2 linked regions of the Drosophila melanogaster genome follow. The gene in region 2 interacts genetically with the main gene of each other region. Each region holds a gene or a part of one and is shown on either strand. Other genes may lie near its edges.

Region 1 (4,864 bases), on a different chromosome or scaffold from region 2:
TCCTGCAGTTCCAGGTCGTGCAGCTCCAGGTCGAACAGTTCGCTGGGATCGCTCACGTCCGCCATTGCGTGCGTGTGTGTGTTTGGGCGAGTGCGATTCTGTTTGGATATGGATATGGGAAGTGGATCGCCGCTGGTCCGCTCCTGAACTGGGCGCTCCTCTCGCGGGGGGGCGGAAGCGCGTTGGCGATTTATTTTAGTCTCTGGCTATGAGTCTCCTTGTTCAGCTGGTTGGTTCAGATGGAACAGTACAGAACAGAACAGCAGCGGTGCCGATTTCGTGGCTTTCGTCGTGGCCCGAAGGTTATTGTTTATTAGTTAATGGCAATACAAATACACACACACATGGGGGCACACGCACCAACACTGCGACGCACGCACAACGCACCCACACTCACGCACACAGACACTGTGCTCAATGCCTTGCCCACGCGCGCCCTTTGAGTCCGCTGATGTGCAAGAAAACGTTGTTGTTCGCGAACGCCTAATCGCAATGCAGTAATCAGTAATTAAAATGCACTTTTTTCTTTGTTTGCGAGTGAAACACGAGGTGATTTGCTGAGTGTGGCCAGTCGTGCGCTAACTGCCAATTGCTAGAAATTACCGAGGCGCAACGAACGGCAATGCCGCGACAAAGTGTGGCCGTAGCAAGCCAAGCACGCGCTAGGAGGACAAAGTGCTACGTACAATTCTTTTAATTTATTTATTTTATGTAGCCAGTGATAGCAACCAAATAGCCGAGTCATGCGCACCGGCTCGCCCAGCAGCAGCGGCTCCCAGTCGGAGGAGGGCAGCAGTTCCTCAGATCACCAGCAGCCGCAGCAGGAAGCCCAGGAGCAGGAGCAACAGCTGCACACTCCCACGCATGCACATGCCGCGGTGCCAGCTGCCACATCGGAGGAGATCCTGGCGGAGTACGGCAGCAACCTGAAGCTACTCGAGTGCAATTCCCAGGTGGCCGAACTGCTGACCATATTGCGCGACAAGTAGGTGACGTTGGGGAGGAGGAGTCAGCAGCGTAGTAGCAGTACAACAAAATTCTACCCCCCAGGAACACCACGCGCAGTGACTTCAAGTTCTATGCCGACCGTCTCATCCGGCTGGTCATCGAGGAGTCGCTCAACCAACTGCCCTACACCCATTGCGATGTGGAGACGCCCACCGGTGCGATTTACGAGGGACTGAAGTATCGCTCCGGCAACTGCGGCGTGTCCATCATCCGATCGGGAGAGGCCATGGAGCAGGGACTGCGTGACTGCTGTCGCTCCATTCGCATTGGAAAGATCCTGGTCGAGTCCGATGCCAATACGCATGAGGCCCGCGTGGTTTATGCCCGCTTTCCCGATGACATCGGCAGCAGGCAGGTGCTACTCATGTACCCCATCATGTCCACGGGCAACACTGTGCTGCAGGCGGTGAATGTGCTGCGGGAACACGGCGTACCCGAGAGCTGCATCATCCTGTCCAATCTCTTCTGCACACCCATTGCCGCTCGGACCGTAGTGAATGCCTTCCCCAAGCTGAAGATCCTCACCTCCGAGCTGCATCCCGTGGCACCTAATCACTTTGGCCAGAAATACTTCGGTACAGACTAGATACTTGGGTCTATCTCGCAGACTTGACGACTAAGCGCTGCTTAGGATAGGTAGCTGTCGCCCAGACAAACGCCCTTTCCTGCGTTGCGCTCCACTAACAAATGCTACCCTCTCTCACTCTGTTTCGTCCTCCAGATTGCATTTGAGACACACAGACAAATAGACGACCCCTGCGGCCAACCAAACTACTACTTAGCAACTGTTAGCTTTTCACAACTGGCTTTTAATGCAACTCTCAAATACGTTACGTTCGTTACGCACTATTGTAAATATAGAAACGAAATAAATATTTAAACATTAGGATGAGGCGGTACTGCCTTTTAAGTGCTCATCTTGTAGTTGACCACGGTGTCCACCTTGTGCAGTCCTGTAGAAAAGGAGCGCAGCTGGACGGCCTGCGGATTCTGTATGACAATGGCACCCGTTTCGTCCCATTTGGCCGGTAATTCGGTGTTCTGCAGCGTGTGAATCATTATGTCGAAGGTGCAGATGCAATCGAGCAGTGGCAAATAGCTCACGGTGGCCGAGATCTGCCGCATAACGTCGCGAATCTCGTTCTGTATGCGACTCAGCTCCTTGGTGGTTGTTGCCTTGGTGGGATCACTGATATCGCCATCGCCCAACTCGGCCTGCATATTAAAGTCCCAGCACTCGAGCACCTCCTTGGTGTGGGCGTTCGTAATGACCATCGAGATCTTGTTGATCATGTTCTTCGAGAGCCATTCTATAGGTGAATACAAATAATGGTCACCATAAACTTGAATTTTTTCCAAAAGACCACTAACCTTCAGTTTGGCTGAGCACGTTCTGCAGAAAGGTCTTGATCTTGGGATCCTTGGACATTAGAATGGTTAGCCCATACTGCTGCGTGTTGTTAAAGTCTTCGGCTGGGTAAATTCCGCGTTGGAAGAGGATCGAATTGATGCCGTACTCTATTTAGGAAAAAAAAAGAACCAGAGACGCCATTGCAGGCGAACTTACAGACGCTTTCGTGACGTAGCTTGCTACTCACTCAGGTATTCCACAATAATCTGAGCGGAGCCCTTGAGTGTGATGCAGTTTTTGGTCGCCTGGGCAGTTGACATGTTGATTTAAGTCGATTTAAGTGGGAGAGAAATTAACAATTTGCTAAATTGCCGCTATTTTTGAAAGGTGTTGACTAGCAGAGATGACAGAAGCTCGATATACATTCGATACGTTTGTCTGCAATATATCGATAAATATCGGTGAATGTACTCGCTAAATTCAGTATATTTCTATATTTGGTGTGTGTATTGGCTATGCGACCAGGGATGGTGGAACCAGGGATGGCTAACTCCGACCAGTGCTGCCAAGCAATTCCCAAAGGGCGGCATATTTAAATTCATCAATTTATTTGCGCAATAAAATCAAAACACAATTATTGATTGCAACAAATTCAGAATTTTATTGGCCATCCTTGTGTAAACTAAATCTAAGCATGAGATCCATTTCTGAGCGCAAAAGTAATTCCGCGTGGTTCGGCCTAATGGGTTCCATCCGGTTCATCGTATTCCTGCCAAGAGACTAAAATAAGACAAGACTTTGATATAGCCAGAACAATAGAGGACCCAGTTAATCTATGCTATCCAAAACCTAGCTCGGTTCGTCAGAGCCTTGATTACTCTGCCCTCTGATTTGACAGAAAAGATCAGCAAAAGCAGAGCAGCAAATCATAAACGAAGTACAAGAAGCCACAGTGAACAAGAACAGAATATCAGACCAAATCAAAAAGCAATCGATGTTTGTAAAATGTGAATTATTTGCAAATTTTTAATTAAGTTTTTTCTTACGCATCGTTTTGTTTGTTTTTGTTGTTTTTTTTTCGTTTTTGTTTGTTTAATGTTTTGTTTTAAATTAAAATTAAACTTTACATGGTATTTTTGGTATAAATCTTTCAATAATTAAATATATAAAAAATTTGCCACTTAAAATAACTAAAAATAATCTCTACGCACTTTCTTGCTTTACGCCTAGCCATACAAACTGATGTCAACATACACATTGTGAAGAAATAAAAACTAATTTGCCATTTTACATATTTTGGTGTTGAAATTGCGCAAATCCAAAAAAAACGAGGACAAATAAAATAGTATTTCGAAATTAAGTAGCTCCATGGTGTCTGTGTGGGGTGTTCGTGTGTGTGTGTGTGTGTGTGTGTGAGCTTATAGCTATAATTACGTTTAATTTAGGTGTAATTAAATACAATAAATTACGGTTAAAGAAGGGCTTGCATTACCTTAGTTGAAATGTACACAAAACTTATCGTTAGTTAAAACGAGAGCTATTTACAGGATTTATTACAAAGTTCTCGGCTACGTCAACCTTTGTTATCATTTTAAAATTATTGTCTATGATACAACAACAAAAGCGCAACAATGTCAAAGTCAGGGTCGAATCGGTAATGCTTTGCTCTCGAACTTTGAACCGCAAACTTCGATCTTAGATGTTATATGTATGTGATATATTTCGTAAAATAAATAATTTAAAATTCTGCTCAGCTTTCATACATCCGATTTATACATTTAAGATATTCTGTCACCGTGCACAAGAACAAACGTAGCTAAAGTCAGTCTGGATCTGGAACTTTTCGCTCGGGAAGAAGGAACTCTAGGCGAGGGGAATTGTACGAATTTTGAAATGTTTTCTGTTTTCTGTTTTCGGATATGTATTCTTTGTAGTTGCAAACTTTGAGAACGGTGATGGGTTTTTGGGCATGGTCAGCTGGTGCAACAAATTCTCTAATTTTTTAATAAACGTAAAAAATTACAATTGTCCACGTTTTTGGAGTGCAGGGAGTTCGATTTTTTTTTTGTTTTTCGTTTTGTTTATAAAATCATAAAAATAATGAAACAAAATTCTATGCATTAATAGTCGTTATTTAAGGTATGTATTTGGCCGTAGATTGCAACAAAATATCTGTGAAGAGATTAAATTATAAATAAAATTAAAAATTAATCTTTCAGTTCTTCATTTACTGCTAACTAAAAGCTGGCTAACACCATTTCCACAATTAGGGGCAACTACAAGCATAAAATTGCGCTCTCAAATGAAAAAATCCATGCAGAAGGATATTGAAGAGAAGGTCTTTAGCAAGAACTACTTGAAAATTAGTGATTTGATATATGTATGTATATATTTTTATTTTGGGTTCATTCGAGCTCAAGATTTCACTTTGCCGTGGAGTTTACACTTAAGGAGGAAACGAGCACAAACTAAGGAAGTAATAGTGAACAGAGTTACCCAAATCGG
Region 2 (6,675 bases):
TGGTCTATAATAACTAGATTTCTAAACATATCGTTTGTCTTTTTGCAGGACATTTAATGTCGAAACAGATGCGGAAAGGGAAGAGGAGGCCAACAACGACGATAAACTGACAAGCAACCGCAGAGTTTGTCCAACTTCCAAAAGAACAGCAACAGTAAAAAAGAAACAACTCTAACAATCTATTAAGTTTAAAGTTAATGTAACAAAAAAAAAAGGCGAGAAAAAAGTAAACCTAAAGCATGCCCCACAACAGCAACATTTAACATTTTATAGTAGCGAGAACCAACAATTATGAGAATGAAGAACTATGGAACGCTTTAAGAAATTATATACACATAACTAAAGCAAGATAATGATAACAATCGAAACTTGTGCAATGTTAAACGAGAAGAGAAGAAATGCTAGCAAAGGAAAAGTCCGACTCTGATTACAGAAACAGGCAATTTCCACCCAAGCCCTCCCAATAAAAAGCAAACCAACCCGGAAAAACCGCGAAAAATCCATTGCTGCTGCTACTTTCTAATTATTATTTAACACATACTTTGCATGCGATTATTATTTTTGTGTTACACTTGCATTTAAAAACGCGCTTTAAACAATTGTATATGTATCTTATGTTAAGCAAATGAATTTAAAACCCAGCTACTTAAAATGCAAATCCACAAAAAAATAAACAAAATAATAGTATGAATGTACGTATGCTCTTGTACTTGGGCCATTGTGAATTTTGTATGTTTTCCATTCATGTTTTCTGTTTTTGTGTTAACTTTTAATTTTCCGCCGCCAGGCAGCGCAAAGTATTTAATCCCAGGAAGAGCAAATGGCAGCAGCAACATTTAATTAAGCGTAAATAAACAAGAAAACAACTATTTTTATATAAAACTGAATGAGAACCTATCTTATAAGTAAACGCAAATTAAACACGAATGCTAACTAGCAATCTATTGTCGGAACCTGTTGCATGCGACATACTGAAAAATTAGGAAAACCAACAAATTCAAGCCCATCAGCAACCACAACAAACAAAAGAACGAGCTATAACAGCATTATAAGGATTTATGATGTTTAATTTACGATAAAATGAGAATTAAATATATACACACACATATGAGAAAGACATTTGACCTTTGACATTTCACTAATAAATAGCTGAGCTTTCGTGCTTAATTGCTGTTGGCGGTTCTGCTGGGTATCTGCAGGTTCTGCAGCGGAATGATCATATGGAATGGGTACTGTAGTAGTTCGGTGCACGACGGCCGCTTTTTGGGATTCAACTGTAGGCAGTTCTTGGCCATCTGCAAATAGAGCAGAGACAGTTGTAAACTTGGATTCAATTTATTTATAATTTTAGTTAGCTTATGTTAGTCTAAAAGCCTCATATTGCGCAACACTCACATGAACCAGCATGATGGGATAGTAGGGCGGAATGGCAGGATACTCGATGCTGGTGCCCGGTGTGGTGATTGCACTCATCTTGGCATAGACGTTTCGGATGTGGCCGAACGGTGTCTTTTGGTAGAGTAGCAGGTAAAGGATGCAGCCCAGCGACCACACGTCCGATTTGGTCGAGATCTTGATCTTCGGCTGATCGGCTCTGCGCATCGGGCTATTCCCCGTGGAGGTGTCCGTCAACGCCTCCGGACTAATGTAGTTAAAGGTGCCCGCCTGCGAGAATTTGATGATGCTCGTCGAGTCCACAGCGATATTGCTGGCTATGCCAAAATCGATCAACTTCAGTCTGCCGCTGACCATCAGGAAATTTGCCGGCTTGAGATCCGAATGGATGACACCGTGTTGGTGAATGTAGTTGACCGCTTGCAGCATTTGGTACAGGATGTTCATCAGGCTATAGAGAGGAAGGTTGGTGGTGTAGCTCTGCAGGATCTTGTTCAAGTCGCAGTCACCTTTCTCCATCACCATGTACAGCTTGGACTCCTCGCGCACAAGTTGACTAAGGAAAAAAAAGTACTTAAACAGTGACGTTAACAAGAAGTCAGTATTTAGAAATATTTACTAATCGTAAAGTGCCACAACACAAACGTTCCCTTGTAGCTTTGCCAGAAGTTTGGTTTCGTTTAGATATCCCTGCACCACTTGTGGATCGGCCTGCAGATCCACCACCTTCAGGGCGAACTCATTTCCGGAATCCGATCGGCGTGCCAAAAAAACAGAGCTGGAGCCGCCACAGCCCAGTTTCTTATCAATCGTATACTCATGATTCTTGATTTTTAAAATATTAGATGTCTTGTGGGAAGGCTGCTCTGGAGGTACAGCAACTGCGGGAATCGATACCAGCTCCTTTGGTTCCACATTATCCACTTTGTCTGGCACGTTATCCTTGTCCGACTCCCGGAAAACATGATCTAGGGACTTTTTGGAAGGATGCTGACTCTTTGGTGGTTCTGCCTTTTTCGGAGGCTCCGGAATGTCCGGGCTTTCTGTGATGGTGTCGCACAGGGAGAAGCTTATGCTATCGGAGGCCACTGGAGCAGCACGACTCACGGTCATAGGTGTTTGGAAGAGCACTTTCTGCGCACGGAAGTCATTGGACACCGCACTCCGACTTTTTCCCGCCAGTGTGGAACCAATTGTTCGTACTTGGGGGGTAATGAAGTCTGCATCCGGCTTCGTCTTCGAGGTGGAGGGTAATTCATTACGCAGTGGCGTCTCTGTCTCTTGGAGTGGGCGCCTTTCGGTGGCACTTGGTGCAGCTTGAAGCGTGGGTGCTGTCTTTTTGGCCACCTGTTTTTCCGAATTCGCAACAGGGGATCCTTGACTGCTGCAATTGATGCCCATGTCGTTGAATCTTCCCAGGAACGAGAGATTCGAATCGGATTGCTTAAGGGGGGCGGCACTTGGTGTTCTACGAGTGGTTATGTTGCTGTTGCTGTTTGTTAACTCTTGGGATGGGCTCAGCACAAAGGAATCGTTTAGGATGGCGCAGTTAAGGTTGTGATTGCTCTTGATGTCCTCCTCGTCACTGTCCGAATCCATCATAGTCAACTCGGACACTCGGCGAGGTCTAGAATCGATAAAAACGTTGTATGTAGAAGTAATGAACATTTCTAGGTGATCTTGTAACAAAAATCCCTCGACTTGTGGGTTAATATAGATTAACTTTTAGGGTATATACTAAGCCTAGAAGATACAGGTTAGTTTCGATGGACAGACCAATTTGGAAAGAAAAGATCTAGGATTCCTGAAAGAATTCATGGAAAATTAGATCCTTGCAGACTCAGGAGGACTTATGTATGGAGAACAGGAGATGTCATGCGATACTGGACATTGCTGTCCCAGTTCTTACAGCATATTTATGGGCAGGGGATGCGGTTCGTTCTCCTTGCCCCTCGTTTGGACTTGGAAAGACGCCACCGGCTGCTGTTTTCGTTCTCCCGCCGCCGCTTGTCGTGGTCGGTATGGCGTGTTAAAGTCGTCCTCGGAGTCGGAGTCCAGTCCCAGTGCCATCATGTCCTTGGTGCGGCGGGGCACAGGCGTGGTCATCTTGCAACCCGATTTATTCTGCCCGACAAATAGTTAAATATCCAATTGCAAATCAAATGCGGGGTTTAAATTTATTTTTTATTCAAGTGTGACCAAAGTTCAAAATTTAAAACATCCAAAGCGCGCTGAATGAAGCCTTTAATAGTTAATAAAACTTAAGTAGCCGAAGGCTAAGTTTTAAAATAATTAAACGAAAATGAGGATTTAAATAAATGTTTAATATTTTAAATTAAGAAATATTGAAAACTACCTAAATTATAATTTAGTGTTGACAACAAGCAAATATAAAAGCACACTCTTTGAGTGAGGGAGAGTGATGTATAAAATACATCAAAATGATTTAAAAGTAAGAATGGCTTAAATAAATAAATTAGATATTCAAATTCTAACAGTAAGTTTATTGTTTACATTTTAGGGTTGTCTTGTTTTTCATGGTCATCACAGAGCTGCCACCCTGAAAAAAGCAATATTTTGGCAGTGCTGCCACATCCAAGGAAAATAAGTGTTGTTTTCCTGCCGACAAATAAACAAAGCAGCAATAGTTCGAAAACTACGCATTCTAGAGCAGAGCAAATGGAGCAACCAGCAACTGGAGGCGCCGCTGTCCAACCGGGCGTGTCCCCAGCGCACATCCACGACACGGATCAGCTCCTGGACCCCGTCCTCTTCTCCAACGACAATGGAAGCTACAAGCTAAATACAGTGCCCGCATTTAGGTGAGATTTTATGCGGTGTACGGGGGAGAGACCTCAGCCGGCGGCAGTGAATCATCCATGGAGCTTTCAAACGACCGATAATGCACATAATTTAATCCATTCTCTGTCCACCCGTAGCCTTCATCTGGTTATCTCCACTGCAATCTCCATTGTGGGGATCGTACTTGCAGCCTCGTTTCCAACCGATCGGCGCTGCGATGCATACTTTATAATGCTCTACCTACGGGCCACCTTCTGGGTCATCACATATGTAAATATACCAATCAGCAGTCTGTCAATCCCGACCTGCCTCAATGTCAACGGTTTTTACAGCTCTTCGATCACTTCGTAAAGAAGCAACACGACAATCTACGCATGCAGGGCTATCACGACTTTCACCGCGAGACTAACATGCAGAAGGGGATTCCCCTTCAGCTGGTATCCCTGTGGAACTCCATGCTGCTTGCTGTCCAGGCCCTAATCCACCACTTCTATGCGGAGAACTTTTGGGAACATTGCGCCGCCGGGTGGCTGTCGCCGGTCAGCTATGTGACCGCCTTCACCGTGGCCGAGAATCTGGTGCTGGCCGTTTCCCACAGCTTATATATTGGTAATGAAGTAACATAGTATCTAGTCAGCGATAGTGAGGGAATCTACTTAGTGTCATGGTATGACTTTTATTTTTATTTTATTTTATGACAGATCGAGCTATCATCATTTTTTTAATATATCTGTGTGTATATATATTGAAATGACGATGGGCAACATTTTATTCAAATAGTTTATATAATGACATAATATAGTAGTCGGGATGGCTAGGTATTTTTTTTAAACTGATTAAGTGACTTGCAAGCAATTGTAATACGCAAAAAATGAGTCAGAGCCGCTTAAATAATCCAGGTATTTAAAATTGAAGTGATTCAGTACAGCCACTAATTAAGTTCGTTCTTTCTTATGGTTCCAAAGCGAAAGATTTTTGATTAAGAACCAAGTAATTTCAGGTATAAAAGTTGTCATAGACATGGCTAAAAATTCGTTACCCATTTCAGACAAGGTGCGTAAGTTCAACAGCGCCAAGCTGGCTCCGGATGTTTTGCGTGGTGCGGACCGCGCCGGCGGTTCCCTGGGCCTCATGCAACCAGGAGGCGACACAGAAGAGCTTCTGGAGAAGCAGGCCGACCTTATCGCCTATCTGCGTGACCATACACACAAGCTCAACCAGAAACTGCATCAAATGCAGACCAACGTGCGACCAGTGAGGGCACCACAAATTCCTTAAAGACAAATCAAATAACTATATAATTTTACGTATCATAATTTTACTGGATGTTCTCTTTTTATTCGTTTATACTTTGTTCATGGCGAAGAAATATTCTTCAAGTAGATCAATTGCAAAAATGCAAAAAATGTAATATTCAATTGTAAATACAGAGAACGAATTATAAATCCGCAATCAAGGACTATGACCATTAAATTGTATTATGCAAACAAGTCTGTGTGTAAAAATGATTAAATTAAAGCAGATTTATATCAATGATGATACGCGTCTTAATAGCCATTTACCAATGCGGGGGGCACCTCCAGAATCGCCAGCGAGTTATCTTTCGAAGATGTGACGATCTATAAGATTGGAGTAAAACATTTGAATACCGACTTTGGAAATATTATACAATAACTTACCTTATCGCCTACAACCGAAAGGGCTAAAACCATGCGACCAGCGCCAGCGAAACGACCAGTTTGAGTTCCGGTAATCTTGTTCAGGACGTAAATATAGCCGTCGTAGCAGCCGACTAGCAAATAACGCTCACCGTAGGCCGCAACAGCAACAGCGCCATTTCCACAGCTGAACTTGGTGACCAAGTTTCCAGACTAAAACGGAAAACAGCAGGATTCAATGTTCGGCCAACTGAAAGTCATATTCTAACCACTTACAACAAACTCCAATTGATATAACTCGTTTTTCTGCGTTCCGCAATAAATGTGTCCTTCATCTAGAAGCAGACTGTAGATATTTAAACCCTCTGCAATAAATACGTGACGTAGCAGCAATCCGTTGCCCGCATCATGCATTTGGACAAAGTTTCCTTTGCAGCCCAGCACAAGGATTTTCCGCACACCTTCCTTGGTGGCCTTGATCGCAATGATGGATTGGCCGGTTGATACCAAAGGCTTTTCCACCACCTTGTTCGTCTGCAAATTGTGAGTTTTGGTTAATTTTCTGGATCCGTTTTTTAATATTACATACATATTTACATATTACATACATAATTACATATTATGATCTAGTCTAATTATTATAAATTGTATTATATTAAATAGGAACTTATGCTTGTTTTTTTTTTAGTATGGCATCAATATTCATATAAAATTTGTTAAGGGTTATAAAAAAGTAAAATATATGGAAAAAATCCTTTGGAGATGCGGGGCATCGATCCCCGTACCTCTCACATGCTAAGCGAGCGCTCTACCATCTGAG

Evidence for each region. Genes that interact genetically often act in the same process or in processes that back each other up.
Region 1: of Mps1 (region 2) and mad2, changing one suppresses a phenotype caused by changing the other (phenotypic suppression), as found in Drosophila melanogaster (one study listed by BioGRID).

What each region holds. Positions count from the first base shown.
Region 1 is NT_037436.4:5,810,336-5,815,199, forward strand, and holds mad2 (mad2), read right to left. Parts: upstream 2,759-4,864; 5' UTR 2,680-2,758; coding exon 2,607-2,679; intron 2,527-2,606; coding exon 2,380-2,526; intron 2,319-2,379; coding exon 1,915-2,318; 3' UTR 1,800-1,914; downstream 1-1,799. Other genes in the region: S6k (ribosomal protein S6 kinase), read right to left, coding at 1-65; kri (krishah), read left to right, coding at 744-985, 1,051-1,583, 1,730-1,740; vn (vein), read right to left, coding at 4,480-4,531.
Region 2 is NT_033777.3:17,668,197-17,674,871, reverse strand, and holds Mps1 (monopolar spindle 1), read right to left. Parts: upstream 3,602-6,675; 5' UTR 3,502-3,601; coding exon 3,305-3,501; intron 3,023-3,304; coding exon 2,015-3,022; intron 1,952-2,014; coding exon 1,396-1,951; intron 1,324-1,395; coding exon 1,066-1,323; 3' UTR 1,044-1,065; downstream 1-1,043. Other genes in the region: CG7523 (uncharacterized protein), read left to right, coding at 4,075-4,217, 4,335-4,467, 4,530-4,806, 5,246-5,475; CG14322 (uncharacterized protein), read right to left, coding at 5,745-5,816, 5,877-6,068, 6,132-6,389.